Linked DNA regions of Notamacropus eugenii. The protein of the gene in region 2 binds, or shares a complex with, the protein of the main gene of each other region. Links are inferred from orthologs where the notes say so. Each region holds a gene or a part of one and is shown on either strand. Other genes may lie near its edges.

Region 1 (10,515 bases), on a different chromosome or scaffold from region 2:
ATTATGTTGTGATCCCTTCATAGACAGAGTCCTTGTGCCCTGTCTATGTTCACCACCATTCCCTCCTGTCTCCTTCAGAGAAGCCCCTCTCCCTACATAGCTAAGGGATCCTTTGCCATCTCCCACATCCTAAACATGGGCATCCCTCACCCCCAAGTTCTGTCCTCTTCATCTCTCTCTCTGTCTCTGTCTCTCTCCCTCTCTGTCTCCCCCCAGTCACAGTCCTGTATCTCCCACAACCAAAAAAATATTTCCACCTGACAGTCCAGTGCCACACCTCAGATGCACACACAAAACTGAACTCACCACAATCCCTCTGCCCATTCCTTCATGGGATTTTACTACTTCTGACTAAACATTTTCTAAGCCCCGTGCTGGGCAATGGGGAGAATCAGAACTGACACAACCTTGCCCTCCACAGACCTCAAGAGTCTGTCACCCAGGCTTGGATGCCTAAAGACTCAAGAGGCTGGAAGACTTGGGTTCAGATCCACACCCTTTTAAATTTAAAATTTTTATTTTCAGTTCCCAATTTTCTCTCTTCCTCTACCCTTCTCCCACCCACTGAGAAGGCAAAAATCCAATACCCATTCTACACATAAATTCTGACCCTCTCTCACTGGATAACTTCTCTGGGCTTCCTGCCTCAAATGATGATAAAGCCTGTAAGAACTGTGGAGTGTGACATTTGGGTTGGTGGACAGGACTGATTATAATTTTATATATATATGTAAAATAAGGGGCAGATAGGTGGCCCAGGGGATGCTGGACCTGGAATCAGGAGGACCTGAGTTCAAATCTAGCCTCAGATACTAACTGTGACCCTGGGCAAGCCACTTAACCCTATTTTCCTCAGTTTCCCCAATTATAAAATGATCTGGAGAAGGAAATGGCAAACCACTCCAGTGTCTTTGCCAAGAAAACCCCAAACAGGATCACAAACAGTTAGATATAAACAACTGAACAACAATGTTAAATAAAGGCAGTGTAGACAATGCCAGGAAGACCTGGGAGGTTCAAGTCTTGAGGATGCCTTAGGGGCTGTGTGACCCTGTGTGAACTGTCCTGGTGGCCCCAACAACTCTATGAAACTGATTATATTTTGCATTGGGAGAGGGGGCCTTCCATACTGGGAGTTCCCAGCTTCAAAGATGTCACCTGTCCAGACTAAAAAAAAGCCCTGAAAATTACCTATGTATTTATCTTGGTCTGGGCCCATGATTTCAACATTTACAGGGAACTTTCTCACTGGTGGGGAAAATCTCTTCCACCAATATAAGTGACTGTCTTAGCGCTTCCGTGGCCTGTGGCCTGTGGCCTGCCTTAGGTGAGCTTGGTGAGAAAAGATCAGAGGCAGTATTTGAACACTTGGATCCTCCTGCCTCCCAGGCAGGTCCTCTAACCATCCCCCAAGGTGGTCTGCTGGTCCTTTGATACCACGCTTACTCCTCCCTTACCCCGCAGACCCCCGTGACCTCCTTGGTCCTCCTGGGTCATGTCCAGATCCACCTCCAACATCTGACTTACAAGTACACCTAAGGCCCCCTGTGACTTACAGTTGAGTGGGGGCAGGGCCTGGCACAGTGCTTGGCACTCAGATAACATTTAATAAATGTTTTTCTTCTATTTCTTCCTTCCATCTCAATAAATCCCAAATCAAGCTTTTCCTTTCCCCTAAAATGGCTCCCGGTTCTGAACCCCCTCTTAGGGCCAGGGCTACTTATCATCCTTCTTTTAATCTACAGCTCAAAGCTCAAAATTATCCCCAGACAGTGTGTCTCTCCTCTTCCTCCACCCACCCACTTCCACTGTGGACAGAAGTATCTCTTACCCATACATCTGGGCATTCAATTAAACATCTATTCTGGGCAAAACATATCAATATGGAAAGAAATAGCCCCTGTCCCCAACAAGTCACATTTTCCTGCTGGGTTTAGATAAAGCCTGCCCTCATCCAAAATTGCAACAGGGACCAAAGGATGCAAAGAGACGGCTGGGCAGACCCAAGAGGAGGACCAGGATTCTCTGAAACCCAGGGGAGAGCTTGCTCCATCACCAGTATCCTGTCTTCCCAGTCTTAGAAAGCCCTTCCCTTGGACTAGTGTTCACCCAGATAGGGTAACCCAGCATTCTCTGCCTTTTGACTCGGTATCTCCCCGGCTGCATTTCTGTCCTCCATCCCTACTGCCCACTAGCAGCTGACCCCCAAGACCCCCTTCTTCTCCCTGGCTCCTCCCTAAATGACCACTCTGACTTGCTCTGCCCTGGGGACTACAGCCTTGGGAAGGTACAGAGTACCTTTTCAGGTACAGATGGTACCCCCTGGTCCTCCCCCCAAGTCTTCTGCCCCAGGCAGACCCGGTTCAGTAGGGACTGCCCAAAAGGAAACGGATAAAACCGAATGGGGACAGGGCAAGATGCTTCCTGGATTTACTCCCCAGGCTCAAAAACCATCATCAGCTCCCAGCTGCCTCCAAATCCTCACCTTCCCAGACTTGACTCAAGACTCCTTTCCACCAGCTCTATTCTCCAGCCATGACTGTTTTTTGCCCCCTCCCCCTCCTGGACTCCTGAGCTCTGACCCCATCTGGGGACCGCCCCCAGCCCCAGCTGCTCAGCCCCTACCCACCCTCTGTTATGCAAGTTCGGAGTCTCCAATTACAGAACCATAGATATGTGGCTGGAATGGGCCTAGGAGATCACCTAGTCCGGGCCCCTTTTACAGAAAAGGAAATTAAGGCCTGGAGAAGAGACAAGACGCCGCAAATCACACAAATGAAATTTCAGAGGCAGAGCGGGAACCCTGTTCCTCTGAACCAAGCTGCTTCCCAAAGAGAGAATGCTCTTTAGACCCCACAAGACCCCCTGGAATGTGTCGGGCTGACCCTCGGTGTCTCAGGCTCCTACCAGACTCTAGCTGAGTTCCCATTTTATCTAAGCTGTGTATCTTTCCAGGCTCCCCGCAGGAGGGGTGATTTAGTCCACCAGCCCCGAGTCCTGTCCATGCCCCGTCCCCACCTCCTGCGACACTGCGCGATCCTGGGTTCCCTCTGATTGATGCAGTGTGACTCTGTGAGCCCTCAGTTTCCTCAACTGTAAAATGAGTGATGAAGAAGTGGGCTAGTGAGGCCCCTTCCAGAGATCCCAACACACCGATAAGTGTCAGGTTCTTTTCAACATTAAGACCATGGAGTCCCACCCCCCCCTCATTAATGGGAGGTCGTGGCTCTGCTGAGCTGGGCTGTGACTGGAGCCCACAAACCCGGGGATCCTCACAAGGTATACGGAGCCAGGTGGGGCGACCCCTCCTCTGCCACATACCTGCCATGACTCTACTGCCGCTGGCTAAGATGGCTCATGCTTATTCACCACCGCGCTCCGGCCCAGTCTCCAGACCTCTCACGGAACAGTGGACCCCACTACATGTCCCGGGGTTCCCCATGTTTGAGGGTCCCCGTATCGCAGGTCCCCTCATGTCTCGGGCTCCTCATATCCCAGCCCCACCGTGTCTCAGGGCTCCCCACATCCCAGGACCTCCCCATGTCCGAGGCCCCCAGTGTTCCAGGGCCCCCCAGGCTGAGCTCCCCCAGCCCCCGCTCACCTGATGGCGCTGATGACACCGCCTAGGAACCCCATGGCACCCCCAGCTCCTCCGCCGCCGCCACCGCCGCCGCCACCGCCTCCGCTAAGTAGCCCCCCGATGACATTGCCGATGCCTCCAGCACCGCCGCCGCCGCCGCTGAGCAGCCCCCCGAGAGCTCTGCCTGCGCCCCCGCCGCCGCCGCCCTTCCCGCCCAGGAATGAATTAACCAGGAACATGTCTCCGGGACCTGGGGGCCAGAGTCAGGACGCCGGCCGCGGTCAGCTATGGGGCGGGGGGTCAGGGGGAGTCGGGGGCCCCGCTCCTGATGGTCCCGAGGAGGGTGGGTACTGGGGCACGGTTTGGGGATACTGAGATTCAGGGGAGGCCGGGGCTGGCTTCCGGGAGTCAAGGCTAGGGGTCCTGGGTTGTTAGGGTGCTCCGCGGGTGTGGGGGATCCTTAGGGTCTCTTGCTCGTGCCCAAGTAGGGGGGTCAGGAAGCACGAGGGGAGGGGGCACTGAAGCCGGGGTTCAGGGGGACTCAAGGCCAGGCTGGGGGAGACTCGAGCGGGGTTGGGGAGCCCGGACTTGGGGCGGGGGGCGCTCTCACCCTGATCTCGGCCTCAGTTTCCCCAGCCGCGGTCTGGCCTCCTACCCTCCTTGCTCGACTCCTCTCGGTCCGGCTACAGGACGGTCGGGCGGGGCCGGGGTGACTCAGGGGTGGCCCCGCCCGAGGCGATGTGCCTTCCCCGGGCGTCCGCGTGGTCCTAAAGCCCGTCTCGCAGACTGTCCGGTGCCGCCCCTCCCCTTCCCGCTGCATAACGGGACCCGGGCGCCCCGCCCACCAGCTGCTCCCTGGAACCGGGCCCAGCCCTCCCGCCCTGCGGGGTCCCGGAGAGACGCGGGGCGAGGGCGTGCCTGCGCCTTTAAGAGTCCCATCCCCGCCTCCCCCCAGCCAGTGACTCGGAAAACGCTCTCGGGCCCCACGCGGGGCGGAACACGCGAGGGGGTGGGGGACTCCTGGGTCCCCGGAGGTGCGGCCGGGGGAGGGCATAGCCGCTGGACCGGCCCAGTCTAGCTGAGGGAGGAGGGCAGAGGAAACGGCCCCCCTCGGGGCGTGGGTGATTCCTCGGTCCCCGTTCTGTCCCCGCCCCCGGAAGTCGGGGCCTGGTTCATTCCTCAGTCCCCGGGACCGGCCCGAGACGCGGAAGTGGGGACCCCCCCCCCCGGGGCCGTGTCCTGGTCGGAGGCCAGTGATGACGGTAATGCCCCCTCCTGAAGGGGGCAATGGGAGCAGGGGCCTCCCTACTCCGGGCTCGCCCCGCTCTCCTCACGACTCCTCCAGTCCTGCCCGTCCCATTGCGTGAGACCACCGCGGTCCACAGCCCCGGGCTCCCCGCTGCCCCTGGGCCACGTCCAAGGCTGGTTTCACCTCCGAAGCCCTGGATCCCCCGGCCCCCACCTCCCTGTCCATCCTCTCTGGACGCTTGTGCCCCCCGAGGTCCGGCCACCCCCTGAGGTGCCTCACTCAGGACCCATGCCTTTCCCCTTGTCCCCCATCAGAACGTAGACTTGTGCGGAGGGATCGATCGTTCGCAATGGAACGGCAACAAGCATTTGTGAAGCGTCTGCTACATTCCAAGCCCCGCTGCCAAGGCTGACAAACAGGATCCTTGGGTTTCCCCGGTATCGTCCCAGGACAAAGCCTGGCTCTTAGCAGAGACTGATAAAGCCTGAGCCATCTACAATGCTGCGAAGTCCATCGACGTCTGAAAGCGTAACCTCGGAAAAGACTCTCTTAAAAACTAGTGGGAAAACTGAAGTCTGGCAGAAATGAGGTTTAGACCAACATGACAGACCATACTCCACAATAAATTCAAAATGAACATGTGACCGGAATGTAAACGCCCAAAGGAGTGGAGCTAGACCTGCCATTTCCTTGAAGTAGGGAGCTCCCAGATGAAAGCATTCCCACCACTAGTTCTCCAGCGAACCCTTTGCAATTTAGTGCCTAGAGGCACCGAGAGGCTGGAGAGCTCTGGAACACAGGTCTTGACGACTCCTGAACATCCCATCTCCACTATGCCACAGATGATGGCTCTGGAGAAGTGAGGCTGGTGATCTGCACAGCCCTTCCTCGCTCAGAACAAAGATAAGTGCAAGTCACATCACCATTTCTCTGATGGCATGGTCTGCTTCAGCAACGAAGCACAGACACAATCCTATGAGCAGACCCAGCTGGCTGAATGGGGACCCAGCTAGCTGGGTAACTCAACCCCTCCTCTCCTGTCTGCCTTCCCCTCCCCCCTTTCTTCTCTTCTCCAAAGGAAGGTAAATTTGGATAGCCAAAAGATGCCCAGGTGACTTGGGTTTTACTTACTGGCTAGCCTCCCTTCCCTACCCTTCTCAGAACCTTGAGCCTAGAACCTTGAGCCTACTGCACTCCGTAACTCAGACACCATGGGGCTCCTGCCCCTGCCTAAAGGCTCTCTTCTGGACCTTCCGGGCTTCAGAGTGATTATCAACGTTAAGTGTTGCTGTTTCCCTCCCAGTCTGATGTCTTCCTCTTCCTTGCCTCATTAAAGGGAACAGGCCCTGATTAGTTTTACCTCACCCTAACTTAGTACCTGCACAGGTCAGGCCAAGGTCTCCCAGTGCATCCTGGGCCATCTCCAGTCATCCTGATGAATATCCGGTCACTGGACCCAGATGGCTCTGGAGAAGTGAGGCTGGTGACCTGCACAGCCCTCCCTCACTCAAAACAAAGTCAAGTGCAAGTCAGGTCATCATTTCTCTGATGACATGGTAGTCTTCGGCAATGAAGGAGGAACAATGCCAGTTGACTGATTAGGGTGAGATTAAAAGAATTTTAAAAAAACTAGAAGCTCATCACATGCCTTGCACAGATATGGATAAAGGGTGGGCTCTTTCTTTTAGCATTCCTCCTCCTCCCTGCAAGCATCTCACATAACAAATGGTTTTTAAAGCAAAAAAAGAAAAAGCACAGTCATGGAATATATTTTAACCATCAGGGCGCAGAGCTGTGGTCCTCGCAGCTCCACAAAGGGCAGGGGTGCGTCGGCAGCATCCTTAACTGTTCTGGAGTCATGCTTGAGCTTTATGTAACTTGGAGGAGGTAACGTCTTTACCAAAGGATAAGGGAAATGACAAAAGAGTTAATTTTGCTTACTTGAAATTAAAAAGTTTTGCATGAACAAAATTAATGCAAAGAGAGAAAGCAGTCGACTATGGAGAAAAAAAAAATCTGCGTCTGCTATCTCTGATGTGGGTTTCATATCCACACTATGTAAAAACCTAACAGAAACATCAGAGGCCAAAAGTAATTCCAACAGAGATGTGGGCAAGCAATCTGGACATTTCTCAGAAGAACTGTCAATTACTAACGATATAAAAGAATGCTCCAAATTACTAAGAATTAGAAAAATGCCAATCAAAATAATGCCAAGGCTTCCCTTTAAACTTTAGCAAACTGATAAGAATGACAAAAGGAAAGCATGGTCTCACTTGCACTGTTTTAAACCTTTTATTTTAACATGGGGGTGGGAGGGGAGAAAAACCACTCACCTCACCATCGTGGAGACCTCCCAGTAAGGCAGTTAGAACCCTTTAGTCACTTTAAGGGCCTGATGGGACCTGCCCAAGGTCACCAAGCCCTAACGTATAAGAGGTAGGGCTTGAGTCTCAAGACTTCCTGCCTACAAACTGAGCTACCTCTATCTCAACTGTTGTTGTTTAGTTGGGTCCCACTCTTCATCAGAAACGGAGGCAACCAGGGTGAAGTGACTTGCCCAGGCTCACACAGCTAAGTGTCTGAGGTGGGATTTGAACTCAGAGAGAAGAGTCTTCCAGGCCCAGCACTATGGCACCCTCTAGCTGCTGTATTTCAGCAGCTTTCTATTAAGATCTCCCCAGTATAAAATGATACCAAGTTTGGCCCAAAAGAAGAGATGCGAGCATATACCTCCCCCCCTTCTCTACACAGCTAGGGGATTATGGGTGTTGAACGCTGCAGATGCTGATGGGTTAACTTGTTTTCATTTTTATTCTGCTGTAGGAAAGGCCTTCAGGAGAGGCAGATGATGGAAGAACAAGAAATCCACACTAAAGATGAGCCACCTGCCTCCAGTCTCTCTCCTCTTCAAAATAGCTTCCAAACAAACCCCTAAAAAGTTGTTCTGAAAGCCCAGATAGTCAGCAGGTCAGAGGCCACTTCGGGGCTGACCAGATGTGAGGAAAGTGAAGGCCAGCCTCCCTGTCAGACTCACTGCTGCTCCTCCAGTTGTTCAGGGCCCCCTTACCCCAAGCTCCCCTCCCTGATCACCCACAATCTTCAGCAATGAAATGCCCTCTCCCTAGCCCTCAAGAACCCAGGCTGCCTCCAAGGGATTCAGAGGCATTTAATTCACTTGTCTCACAACCTCACAAGAGCCAAGGGGAAAATAAGATAAAAAATACAACTCAAAATAGGGAAGGCAAGAGAGAATACACCACAGACACGAAACAGGAGGGAGGGGCCCGGGCTGGAGGGTGGGGAAGAGAAAGGGAGGCTGCATCCAAGGGGACAACCCCCCCAGTAGTGTGTAACCCCCCACCCCCACCAGGGGGTCACATCTCATCATCGTCCAGTCCATAATCCTCCTCTGGGAAGTCTCCTACGGTCACCGTGTGTGGCTTGACAAAGGCACCATACTTGTCCTGGCACTCAAAGTAGCGTTTGCCGTTCACACTGCAGATGACAGAGACTAAAAGAGGTCACAGGGCTACCCGGACACATTCACTCACATTCATACCCACAATCACACCCACTAACAAAAACACACACCCACACTCACACACACAAACACACTCTCCTACACACACTCACAGAGAGAGTCCCAGGGTGTCTCGCCTCACCTGCCATCATGCTTCCCCAGCGGTTCATCATAGCGGATGCCAACCCAGTAGCCAGGCTTGAAATCCGTGAGTCCTGCCCACAAGAAGCAGCTCATTCAGGACCCAGCTAAGGGCAGGGCCACAACAGCAGCTCCTGTCTCTCTAGCCTGGGGGACTGACCCATTCTGCAGAGAAGCTGGGGCTGTCACTTCCTGCCCTCCCCTCCTCTGGCTCCTCAATAAGCTCTCAACTATCACACAGATGCCAGACTGTGTCCCTGCCCTCTGTATTCATCTCCAGGGGTTCTCAATCACAATTTATCACTGCAGCCCCTGCACCACCCACCTCTGTGACTCGAACAAATTGTCCATGCAGCTGACCAGGCAGCATCTCCCCTTTCTCTTCGATTATGAACAGTTCCAGGTTCCTAGGGAGCTCAGCTTTCTAAGGCCTGTCCTAATCCCCAGCTGCTTCTGAAACCACCTTGTTCAGGCACACTTAGATACTGTATGTGTCTTTTTCCTAGCCAGAATGGAAGCCCCTGATGGGCAGGCTTGGGAGCCTTGTCTTTGTGCCCCCAGGGTCTGCCTGGCACAGGGCAGATACTTCATGAGTATTTGCTCATCAGATGAGGAATCTGAGACTCGGGGAAGTGATCTGCCCACTCACTAAATGCCCCTGCCCCAACAGGCCCCACCTTCATCCCACTGCACCACAATGCCCATCTGCACGCCCAGTGCTGCCCTTGGGTCACTGACTCACCCACAAACATGACAGTGCCCCGTTTGGTGGGCTGGCCGGCTGCCTGCACCTGGCAGCGGCTGCCCACTGCGATGGCCTGGGCCTGGGCCTCCTCATCGGCAAGTCGCTGGGCCGCTTCAGCCTCCCGTCGTTTCTGCTCCTCCTCGTTGAATTTGCCCATCTTGCTGCGCTTCAGGAAGGAGCGTACGGAGTCTGGAGGCCAGGGGTCAAGGGGGTCACTGCCCTAAACTTAAACCCCCCCCAATCCCCAGGCCCCTTCAGCTTCCTTGCCCCCCCATCTCTGTGATCCAGGCCTGAGTCTCTTCTCTCCCCCATTTTCTATCTTTTCCATTTACACCAGGGCCCCTTTCTCAACACCTTCACTTTCTAATCTCATCCCCCAAATTTCTCATGGCCTTCCCACTCACCCAGATGCTCCCCCATTCCCCAAGCTTTCCTCATGCCCATATACCAGCTCTGCTCTCATAGGCTGACTGGGAGAGCTCAAACTTCTCCACTTGAGACAGGTCCTCATATTCACCCAGACGGGCCCCACTCCGGTCAATGACCTGTGGGGAGACAGAGATTGAGCCTGGGGACTCACAGCAACATCAGGGGATGAAGCCCAGAAGAGATTTCAAATCACAAATGTGAGGGGGGTCAGCAGGGCAGGCATAAACACAGAGAAGTTCCCAGCCTCAGAGGCAGATCTGCTTTAGGGCCCAGGCCTATCCCTAACTACATGTGCACCTCCAGGCAAATTGCCCCCTCCTTCATTTCCTACATAGAAAATGAGGGACTGGGCTGCACTGACAGGTCCCTCCCAGCTCCATCAGCCTAGGATCTTAAGGGGAATGAGCTGGTGGAAAGTGGGGCCTGGGGCAGGAGACATGAAAGAGCTGAACAGTGAGGGCTAGCAGGGATTTCACAGCCAAGGGTGACAGAGCCACATATGGCAATGGGCCCAAGGTCTAGGAAAAGGAACATCTCTCACGTGGATCCTGCAGCCATCGTCCACTGGGTAGGAGCCCAAGAGAGCGTCATCTTGGTCGAGTTTCATACAGAAGCGGTCGTCGGCAGTGTACAGCTCTAGGTCCATGCAGGAGGCTGGGCTCCCCACCACCAGCTCCAGCTTACACTGGGGGATGGGAACTCATAATGAATCGGCATGTCAGAGCTAACAGCGATCTTAGAAAGATTGGATTCCACAGTGTGTTTTACAAATGAGGAAATTAAGGTCCAAATGGTTTAGCCTTGCTCAGGGTCAAACAGCTAATAAATCAGGAGGTACAACTCAAGCC
Region 2 (11,459 bases):
ATACCTAGATTTCTAAGCCAGCATTTAAAGTGCTGAGCCACAATATCTCCCATAAGCCCAAGTTTCTAGGCATCAGAGTAAGCTCTGATACAGGGAACAGTGGAGAAATCCCAAGGAGAAAGCTAAAGCACAAGGCAGTAAGATTAAAGAGGTATTAAAGCAATAATAACAGCATAATTCCCAAGACTATGAAGACTCTATGTCATCACAGTAAACACATAATCGATTTAGGTCTCTCCATCTACAAAACAAGGGTAAAATACTTATAAACCAAGCAGTATGGATAATAAGAATTTCTTGAAATGTTTGAATGAAATAAGAGAAATATTAATTATTCAATATATGAACCAATACCTCTACATTAAGCTGTACAATTCTTTGAAAAAATCATAGCTTTTGATTGCCTTTTAGCCCTTTATGATGACACTAACTTCTTGTTTAACATAGGGCTAGTCATTTTGCTTCTCTTGGCCTCAGTTTCCTCATCTGTAAAGTTTTAATAATAACAGAATCTTAAATTCTGTTATTCTAATGGTGGAATTTTAAGCACTGTGATATAGTAGGAAGCAATTTTTGGATGCAGAGGAACTTCTTGATGACCCTCAAATCATACACTATAAGATGATTGCCTATTTCCCTAGCCTAGCCCTATTAAGGACTTGCAAGACCATCTGTGAGATATGTCATATTAATGATCCCTCTTATTTATTGGTCAAGATATGGATTACAAGAAAGTGTATTGGGTTTGAGGTAAAAGGATTTGAATTCAAGACCTAGTTTTGGTACCTACTAGTTGAATAATCTTGGTCATTTAATCTCTGACTGTTTATTTCCTTGTTTTGAAGTTACTGAAGTCAGGGTCATTGAATTCAAAGGGAAATTCTTGCTAAAATCAGTAGTTCTGTTTTGGGATTCCATGTGATCCTGAATGGAGCTTGTATCACATTTTTCTATTTTTTTTTAAAAGACAGCACTGAACAACTCATGAGTGGAGTCTATGGTCACACCCAGGCTTGGGTTTAAATTTCTATTAAATCATGTGGAATCTCAAAAGAACTGAAATACAAAAAAATTAAGGGGAGGTCAATATAGGGAGAAGGGGTTTGCAGCTAGGTTTTCTACCATTATGATGGGGTTGGGACTGTTGTTACATTTTGTGTGCCTCTAGCACCTAGGACAGCATCATGCACACAGCAGATGTCTGATAAATGCTTCTTAATATTGATGATGAACGTTCACTTCGATAGTCCTTTACTTTGCCTTATTTTTATTTACTAATTAGCTGAATGAAGCTCTAATGGATAAGAAAAAAAGAGTTCCCATAGAATTTTAGAAAACTTTTCACACTCCCTCAATGTTAATGATTTATACATGCTTGAGGAAGCAATAAAAAAAATAAAGAAGGTTGATCAGATTTTTAAATTAGAAGGCACTTCTTTCTTTCATTATTTTAATAGGTGTGAAGCATTCATGGTAAGTTATCATTAAGAAATCTACAAAATCCATGTAGAAAATGAACTTGAAAGTCACATCTGTTGAATTTTAATAGTCTTAGACTGCCTTAAACGACAACAATGAAGAAGAGATGTAAAGTCTCTAGTTATATTTGGTACGAGTTGTCTTCCTTTGAGTTGAAAATCAGCTTGTCTTTGGACAAACATAAAGATGTATGCAATGCTTAGTCCATGGCCACCCACTTTCTCTAAACCTTCAAGAACTACATTGCCCCTTTAAAAAGAACTTGTATATGAAAATTGTTGTTGGAGGATATGTGCAACTTAATTAAAATTAATAATATAATAAGGATATAACTTGCCAATTAAAAAAAAAAAAACCTCATCTGTGAACAGGGTTGTCCCTGTATTATTCCTCAGTTAGCAACTAAAATGGGAAACTTGTGTTCTGACATTTCCTTCTCTTTGGCATTCACCTCAAAGCCTATGTGCTCCATTTGTTTACCCTAAATATCTGAAGACTGTAATTTTAAATTTCTTAATCCTTCAGGTTTACTGAAGCCAGACTGTGCAGTCACAGAGTGCTTGCAACACTCCTACCAGCCTGGCTGTCCAGTTCCAAATGACTATGTGCTGATAATGCTGTCACTGGAGCCCATGCATCTAATTAGGTCCATTAAACACCTCTAATTAACTTGCTATAATCAATGCAATTCATGACTTTGGAGGATGATTATAGGTACAAACTAAATTTAAACTAGTCTATGCATTATCACTACAAAGAAAATATAATTTAATGTTAGCATTTCCAACAGTCCCCTATCCCCCAAATTAGAGTTTTTCAAAATATAAGGTTGATATACTGCTAATTTTGTTGATATTAGCCATTATAGTTAGTAGAAATTTGAGATCCAATATTTTATCTTAAACAATTTCACTTGATTTCTTCTAGCTAGCACTTCCTACACACAAACACTCCTTAGATTACATATTCTATGAGTTTATCTTACTTATTCTGATATGTAAAGTTGGGCTACTCACATTTTTTCCCCGAACTTTATTAAACAATGTTCTCCTACGAAAGGACTCACCTAAAAGTGTTTGAAATAATCTCTAATAAGTGTCAAGGGGGAAGAAACAAATGGTTTTTCAGCAGAGTACTCTAGCTACTACAGCTAATTCAGAGATATTCCAAGTAGGGTAAAATATACAGAACAGTCCCCAAATTGAATACAATAATAGGTTTTACAAAGAGATTAGATGGAGTACTAAACTTAAAAAAAAAAATAAAAAGATTTGAGAAATTTAAGTCAGTTTCATTTTATTACTCCAGCATAATTTACCTGGGAAATCATAACTCAGCAAAAAGCAAAGTATGATATTAACTTTGGCTTTATCATGTCTAAATTATGGTATGCTTAGCTATACATCATTTATTCAACATTTTAAACGGAGCCTTAGAAAAAGAATTGAGAAGTTTTATCCAAAGCAAATTTCTACTGAGTATATTTAAGAGGATATTATACTGGCAAACATGGAATAGGAAGTATTCACCATGAAAAACCATAAGGTACACACATAACCAGTTTTTTGAACTGTCTATCATGAAGCAAAGCTGTCAACAAAACTTGAATCAAGCTAACCCATTTGCGCCAACATTTTAAAAAACCCACAATACGGTATTAAATCACAGTTCCTGGTTCCACAACTTTGCAAGCATCAACTTGATTATTTTGCTCATTAGCTGGAAAGATATTCACGAAGTACTAAAGAAATGGAACACCTTCAATCCCTTCCTGCACACAAACCATTTCACATTTTGTGCTACTGCCTGGAGGTCTCCTGATTTACTGGCTTAAAAAGTAAAATAAAATAAAAAGAGGTGGTCCTGGATTTCTGGATGCCCGCCTTCGCTTAAATCAAAAGTACCTAGAGTTGGTTTTTTTTGTTTTGTTTTGTTTTCATTGTCCTGTATCTGAGATCAGGTGAATCTCCACCTTCTCTCAAACCAGGAATTCCCAGGTTTGTAGGGGGGAATTCTTCCACTTCTACAGCCTGGTTCATTCAGACTGTCTGGAGGGCAGGCAGCAGCCACACAAGCCAGATGTACACACATACACACACACAAATACCACAAGTGGGTGAGTCTTTTCTGAAGCTTAACCTTAGGTCCCGAGAAGCAGTGGCATCCTCTCCCCACCCCTTCCTGATCACCAAATAGTCAATGTCTCCCCTACAGGTCTGGGAGAGCAAAGTGAACACACCCGTCTTTCCTGTCCCTCCAAGACAAAAGCCCCATGTCATATTTACCGTCTTGTACCACCAGCTTGCAAAAGCCATGACAAGCCCAGCTAAATCCCCTGAACCGGGCGAAGGACAGGCTTAAGTGAGGAGCTGCGTGTGCGTGAAGGCGCGCCGGCTTAAGGTCTTCACCTGCGCCTGGCTTCAGCTGGCACTTCACTCCTGGCTCTTCTAGCAGCTGCCAGGTGGGAGGGCAAGGCACTGGGCGGGGTCCACCGTGGGCCCCGCCCCGTCAGCCAGATTCGGCCACACTGGAGAGACCGGAGGATGTGTTGTTCCCGGGACAGCCACGCCCTGAAGCTTCGGATTTTGGGGGGGGAAGGGCGGTGTGACAGGCATGGAACAGGGCAGAAATGGCTCGGTTACAGCATTCTGGGCATCTCCAGGGAAGCCGACTTCGCCTTTATCCCCTGGCCCACGGTGCCCTTTTCTCTGTGGCTAACTTTCAGCTGCTTCCTCCGCCAGCCACCCTCTCAGTTCCCTGGGCTGGCACGCGCCACGCCCAGCGGGCTCCCGCAGTCCCGTCGGGTCCCAGGAATCTGCTTCCAACTCGAGCCACGCCCGGTCCCCATCCTCCTGCACCCCCACCCTTTGCCCAAGAGGGTGTCCTGGCCGCAAGCCGGATTGGGCAAAGCCGAGGGAGGAGTCCGGAGGTTGTAGGGCTGTGGTTGACCCCCTCCCCACTCTCTACCACCTTGCCCACCCCTCCTGGGTGGGACGTCTAAGAAGCCACTTACCCCTTCGGCTGCCCGGGCAGCGGCAGCCCGCTTGGGCCGGGGGGAGGCTGCGGGCCTCTTGCCTTTCCCCGGCTGAGACATGGTGACAGCTGCAGATCTCAGAGAGGGTGCAGCGGTGACTGGAGGGCAGGAAGGGGGAGAGAGAGAAGGGAGGAAAGGGGCAGTACAAGCAACAGTGAAGCAGCTTTTCCGATCGAGCCCTGGAGCCAAATCTGGGGCCTCACCCCCAGCAAGTCCCTCCCCTTCCTGCACCCGCTAGTTTCTGCAGCTACCCCCGCCACTGTCCTTTCTAGGGTGTCCGATGCTGCTGATCCACTCCCTTCTTCTGCCTTCACCCAATTGTCTCCCTCCCCCAAACCTCTTCTGCCCAGTGCTCTTTGTACTTTTGGAGAGGAGGGGCAGCAGGGCTGGAGGCCGGCCTCTTAGGGTTTCTTTCTTCAACTTGCCTGGACCGATCTCGTAACTGTGCAGGGAGCGGGACCGGGGCGTGGCCCTCCTATTCTCTGGTCTTCCTTAGGCATTCCAAGAATTAGCACCTTTTCTAGGATTCCACCTTGGCTTGGCCTTCTGGAAAGAGTTGTCATTTGGACTCTGATGACGGGTTGGAACTCTGATTGAAGAGTTAAAACAACACAAAAGCAAATCGGACTGTGTGGATCCCTCCCTCCTCCTCCGTCTTTGGGAAGTTTGGGCAAATCGATGGATCAAGAACTAAGCAAATTGCGATGACTTTCGATGGGAAAAAAGGGAGCTGGTTCCAGTCCATTAAGAAGGGGTCTTAAACTTCAGCCTCAAACCTAATCTTGGTTGGTTCTGATTTGATTGCTTGGCTTATTTCGATGGTTTTAAACAACACTTACTTCCTGGTTTGGGGGTTGAAAGTGAAAATAACAGGAACAGCAAGAAAAGTCTCTTTTGGAGATATACCAGCCCGAGGTGGGCACTGTTTCATGTTCAGACCTGCTAGGCAAACCTGAGGATTTTTGTGATTTATTTGTTTTCAAAATCAGAGTTTCCCCTTCCTCTTCTATATTGTGGTCTGTGGGAGGGAAGATAAAAGTGAAGCCTGCTTTCATGTTGAAGTTGGACTGAACTGAGTTCTGGCTTCTTTTATTTTAGCGATTCAGAAAATCCCTTGGATCCTTCATTCTAGCGTGCAGATATGGATTAGTATTCTCTGTGAGAAATTAAAGCAGGATATTTCATCAAAAAGCATCTCATTCACTACCCTTAAAGTTAGCATCCCCTAAAAGCCATAGGTAGTCGTGTGTGCATCTCATCTTTGAAATGGAGGGACAAGATTGCTGGGATTGATTCTGAAAAGTCAGAATCTAAAGAGTGAAAACTGATATAGGAAACCAACAGCTGATCAAGAAGATAATGTCTGAGAAGTAAGATTTGTCAAATGGTGCAGAGAGGTTAAGATGAATGGACTTGAGATGAGACCATTAGATATGGCAAGTAAGAAATCAGTGGTAATTTTGGAAGGAGCAGTTTGAATTGAGGTTGGAAGCTAGGTTGCAGAGGGCTTAAAAGAGAGTCAGAGGAGAGGAAAGGGAGAGACTAGTTACAGATAGCTCTTTCAAGGATCTGAGAGATGAAGTGAGGAAGACATATAGCATGATGGCTAGAGGAGATGGTCAGATCAAGTGAAGGGGTTTTAAGGATAAGAGAAACATAGGCACATATATTTAGTTATCAGGGAGTCAGTAAATTGGGAAAGATTGAAGATTGGAGAGAATGGGGATGATAGGGGCTGTTCGTTGGAAAAGTTGGGAAAAGGAGCAAGGATACATGTGGAAGGATTTGTCTTGGGAAATTTAAGGGGCCATCTCTTGATCTGAAACCAGAGTGAAGGAAAGGATAGTAGAGGAAGATGCCTGAGTAATGAAACGAGGAAGATAGGAGAAGGAACAGCTCTGCTGAAATGATGTCAGCTTGGGGGAATCTCAAAGTTTGAGGTGTGAGGTCCTTGACTGAAAGGGTGGTGGGAAGGATCATGTTCATAGGCTTAAGGAGAGACAAGGTTTGGAACAACTGCTGTGGAGAGTGAGAGAGCTTGGTTAGTTGTTTATCCTTTGTTTTCAAAGAGGACCATGACATCGGACAGATGATGACTTGCACTTGACTTTGTTTTGAGTGATGGAGGGCTATGCAAGGTCACCAGCCTCATTTTCTCCTCCTGAGCCATCTGGATGACTGGAGACGGCCCAGGATGCAATGGGAGACCTTGGTCTTTTAGGCTAAGGCCTTTCCAGGTACTCACTTAAAGTGAGGTAATGCCCATTCAGTGAATAGGTGTCTTTAAAAAGTAGCCAGGAGGATGGCCCCTTTAATAGAAATAAGAAAATAAATAGATAAATCACTCTGGGAGGGGCAGGAGTCTCAGGGTGGTTGTTTTGAAGAGAAACTGTTACTATTGACTTGCACTCTAAGTCAGCCATTGAGTGGAGGTTGGGCAGGGACCCTTCACTGTTAAATCCATGGGCTTCAGAGTACATAAGGTCCAAGGCTTTAGGGGAGACAAGAAGGAAGGTAAAGGAAGGGAAGGAAAGGGGTTACCCAGATAGCTGGGTCCCCGTTTTAGGCAGCTCGGCCTACTCACAGGTTGTGTTCATCCTTCATTTTTGAAGAGGACCATGATATCAGAAAAATGATGACTTGCACTTGACTTTGTTTTGAGTGAGGGAGGCTTGTGCAAGGTCACCAGCCTCACTTTCTCCTCCTGAGCCATCTGGATCCAGTGACCAGATATTCATCAGGATGACCAAAGATGGCCCAGGATGCAATGGGAGACCTTGGCCTTTTAGGCTAAGACCTTTTCATAGTAGCCAATAAATGATGATAAAGGGGATTACAAAATGTATTCCCCTTCTTATGACAAATATAAGACAAATTGTGTGTGTGTGTGTGTGTGTGTGTGTGTATTTGCATGAGTTCATACACATTTATGAACTAACCAAATTCAACGGGCAAGGGGACATAGGAGTAGGAGGCATGTCCCTTAGGGGAAAGAAACAACAATGAGGCACAAAGGTAGAAGACAGAGCAGGTAGAACTGCACAACATACTCTCAAAATGCAGAATAGTGCAATAGAAAAAAAACACTAAAATTGGGTTCAAATCTGGCCTGCTCTGTCACTGATGTCTGTATACCTTAGGTGAGTTATTTAATTTCCTGGGGCCTCAGTTTCCTCACCTGTAAAATGAGTGAAATGATCTTTAGATGATCTCTAAAGTTCTTTCTAGCTCTAAAGCTGACTCCGTAATATCTGACAGATATTAAAGAAAAGCAGACATAAAGAAGACTGCTAGTTTATTGCTTTGAGGGGACCAGTTGTAATATTCTGCATATTACAAAGAATGCATAGAAATAACAAGGAGAAGGAACTCAGTGAGGTCTGTGGACATGATGGAGCAGCAAGGACTCAATAGAGCAGATGTTCTAGAATATATTCATGTGTGATATTTTCTAAGTTCTCTTAGTGATGCTCCTATCTTATAATTTGGCTATCTACAATGTATGTATGTGTATGTTTATATATATACATATACATATATATATACATGTGTATATGTGTGCATGCACACATATGCGCACACACACACACACACACACACACACTATCCAAAACAAGGAAAGGGATAATCTTGCTACATTCTGCCCTGGTCAAACCACATCTAAAGCACTTTATTCATCTCTGGGAGCCACTTTTAGAAGAACTGAGTAAAATTGGAATGTACTCAGGGGAGGACAATCATGAAGATGAGGAAACATGAGTTAGGAAAGAGTTACATGTTTTCCTTGCTGAAGTGTAAACTCCAGATTTGATAATATAAATGTGTAATGGGCCCAGTCAGCACAGTTTCGTGCAGAGCTCTTCCATTTTTATTTTGTTTTTCTGGCCAAGAGAAATCGTCTTTGGATTGTAAAGGGTAGAGCACAAGAGGTAGTAGAGAGTAACTACCCAAGATAAATATGGAGATGGTAGGGAAATCACCTAGCTTCTCTTGATATATTCAAGTCACTTGGCAAAGAAGAACTACTGTATATATATTTAGGTACTTCTAATATTGGTGGTATATGACTGTGGAACCGTTGTCATTGATATTTAAAGCATCATGGACAGTGGGAGAGGTACCACAGGATTGAAGAAGGGCAAATGTCCCAATTTTACTTTTTTAATTGAATTTAATTTTAATGGAAGAGACTAGAAGCCTCCAAAGCCAGTGAGCTTGACTTCAATTTCTGGTGAAATTATATAAAATATAATAGTGTTTACTAAGTGCCGGGTAGTGTGCTAAATTTTTCACAAATGTCTTTTCACTTGATCTTCACAACAACCCTGGGAGATAAGGTGCTATGGTTATTCCCATTGGTAATCACAAAGAGTTGGCATGCCTTTGTTACAAATAAGTTAGGCAACACTAACATTATTTCCTTTAGTGACAGGTCTACTCACCTGGTAGTTAAAGGGAAATGTGGTAGATACATTTTACCTAGATTATACCCAAGCATTTGATAAAGTGCCTCATGCAATTCTTGTGCAAGTGATTGAGATATGTGGGCTAGATGGATCCAGAGCTGATTGAATAGCTAGACCTAAATAGTTTAAGTTAATGACATGGCGCTTATTTAGCAGGTGCTTACTTTTCAGTGGAATTCCCCAGAAATCTGACTTTATAATGCTTAATGTTTTTATTAATGATTTACATAAATGGATGAATAGAGGGATTTGTAAAGAGTAAATTTGTAAAGAGTAGAGGACAGGATGAATCAGATTTCACAGGATGCAAATTTGGAAAGAGAGCTAACACATTGGGTGATCAGGATTCCAAAAGATCTTGCTTAGCATTGGATTGAATCTAAGAAGATGAAATTCAGTTGGGACAAAAGGCTTACATTTGACTTCAAAGTTTCAAGATAAGGGACATCGTAATATACCAGTTTGTATGAAAAAGATCTGGAAAGCTTTGGTGATCTTACAAAATTAACATGAATCAAATATGAGCCCAAAGTGCTAATTCAATAATGAATTGTACTAAGAAAAGTATGAGCCTCTAGGAATAAGGCCATTGTCCTGCTGTACTCTGCCATGGTCAGACCTTTAGAATTTTATTTTAGGAAAGATATTAATAAACTGGAAATTATCCAGAGCAGGACAACTAGAATTGTGAAGGGCTTCGAGTTCATGCTGTATGAAGATCATTTGGAAAAACTAAGGAAGCTTAGTCTTGAAAATATAAGGCTCAGAGAGACATGACAGCTGTGTTCAAGTATTTGAAGAATAACTTAGAGGAAAGGACCTACCATTAGGGAAGAGTAAGAAAGGCTTCTTACAGAAGGTAGGATTTTATCTGAAACTTGAACCAACCCACAATAACTGGAAGGTTATTTAAAAGTCCAGGTGTGACATGATGAGGACTCTTTATGTAGCAGTGAGGTCATACCTTCTACTAGGCTTATTCTTTTTTTCCCCTTTACCATTTTCTATATTGCTTTCTACTTTTTCTCCTTTCCTCCCCACTCCCATTTCTCCATGCTGCTAATATTTCATATTTTATTTAAAAAGAGTTAATTACAGAAGATACACTTTCAGGTAAGTCATTTATAAGTGTGAGAACAATAACAGCTAGCATAATATAGTAGAAAGAGTGCTGGATTTAGCATCAGGAGAAAGGTTCAAATCCCACCTCCAGTTCTCATTAGCTCTGTTACCTGAGACTAGTCATTGCGTTTCCGCAAAGAAATATGGTAGCCATCATGCCAGTGCTATCTACCTCACAAAGCTGTTGTGAAAAATGTACTTTATAAATCTTTTAAATTCTTCATAAATCTGAACTAATGGGGGTTTGGGAAAGGTAAGGAGTTCCTCTTTATCAGAGCTTCTGCAAGCAGATGCTTCGGGACTTCTTGTCAAATACATTGTACTATTTTTTGTTTGTTTTTTAAGTATTGCCTTGACTGAATGTCTGTGCTGAAGCCCCTTAACTAAACTATTGGGTTTCAGTTCTTATTTACTACTATCTATTTAGCATCTGTGATTTTGCATTATGATTGATAGGAATAATGTTAGATAAGTCAGATGAGACTAAATTCTAGAGGACTTTGAAAGCCAGGCTAAGGAGTTTATATTATTTTTTCCCCCTCACTTAGGAAAAAAATAAAGTGAACTTTCTCCATATGAAAGCAGGAGGTGAAATGAGGAAGAAGTCCCTGACAGCAGAAATTTTAAAAATACATATAAAAAAAGCAGAAATTGTTAAACACAGGAATGTGTCATATAGGGGAGTCTCCTTGGAGACCTTTTAAAATGAGAGGAAAGGGAGGGAGGGAGAGAGGAGGAGAGAAAGGGAGAGAGAGAGAGAGAGAGAGAGAGAGAGAGAGAGAGATCTTCACCTGCCTGGCATAGCTTAGAAACACTTTTGCCTAAGGAAAGGAAGATCATCTCTCAAGTTCTTTTTGGCCTGAGGATCCTAGAATGATTTGTGTGGCTCTTCCATGCCCAGAACTTTCAACAGCTGTAAACAGTCTTACTAATCATGCTTGATTGGTGTCTAATATTAAAGAACCACAGTGGACCCACAAGTACCACACCCATTTCCTGTAACATACTCAGGCATGTGATTTTGATAAGGCTTATTCCTGGGGAAGCCTTTCCTCTAATGAGAGAGATTAAGCATCCTTTTCTTACACTCTTCATCTTCTTAAACCTTGACCATGGAGCCCAAGGAACAAATTGGCTTATAACTTAGACAAGTGATGTTACACTCAAACAGAATTGGGAGCCACTCAAACATACATAATCTGTGATCCCATCAGGCTGCAAATTGACCTGGAAAACCACACACATTTATGTTTCTTTTTTAAATTGATGCAGCTACACATTAAAATCAGATAACTACATTTAAATCTGATTCAGGTCACTTGTGAGTGTCGTGGGCTGCATGTGCCACCTAGGCTGTG

The links.
Region 1: the proteins of CAST (region 2) and CAPNS1 are in contact, whole or in part, in a crystal structure (PDB 3BOW), measured with the Rattus norvegicus proteins. The link is inferred for Notamacropus eugenii from reciprocal best matches to the Homo sapiens genes CAST and CAPNS1. Residues at the interface, in NP_445747.2 of Rattus norvegicus: Pro652, Ile653, Asp654, Ala655, Leu656, Ser657, Asp659, Leu660, Asp661; in NP_058814.1 of Rattus norvegicus: Phe103, Leu106, Gln109, Leu110, Ile125, Lys128, Val129, Arg132, His133, Leu136, Phe166, Trp170, Lys174, Gln177, Lys181.

Annotation. Positions count from the first base shown.
Region 1 is NC_092876.1:33,185,985-33,196,499, reverse strand, and holds the start of CAPNS1 (calpain small subunit 1), read right to left. Parts: upstream 4,321-10,515; 5' UTR 4,191-4,320; intron 3,831-4,190; 5' UTR 3,820-3,830; coding exon 3,602-3,819; intron 2,828-3,601; exon of another isoform or gene 2,630-2,827; intron 1-2,629. Other genes in the region: TBCB (tubulin-folding cofactor B), read right to left, coding at 8,207-8,327, 8,495-8,567, 9,236-9,427, 9,687-9,783, 10,209-10,352. UniProt on the Homo sapiens protein: Regulatory subunit of the calcium-regulated non-lysosomal thiol-protease which catalyzes limited proteolysis of substrates involved in cytoskeletal remodeling and signal transduction. Essential for embryonic development.
Region 2 is NC_092875.1:442,070,873-442,082,331, forward strand, and holds the start of CAST (calpastatin), read right to left. Parts: upstream 5,210-11,459; 5' UTR 4,574-5,209; coding exon 4,493-4,573; intron 3,948-4,492; exon of another isoform or gene 3,795-3,947; coding exon of another isoform or gene 3,765-3,794; intron 1-3,764.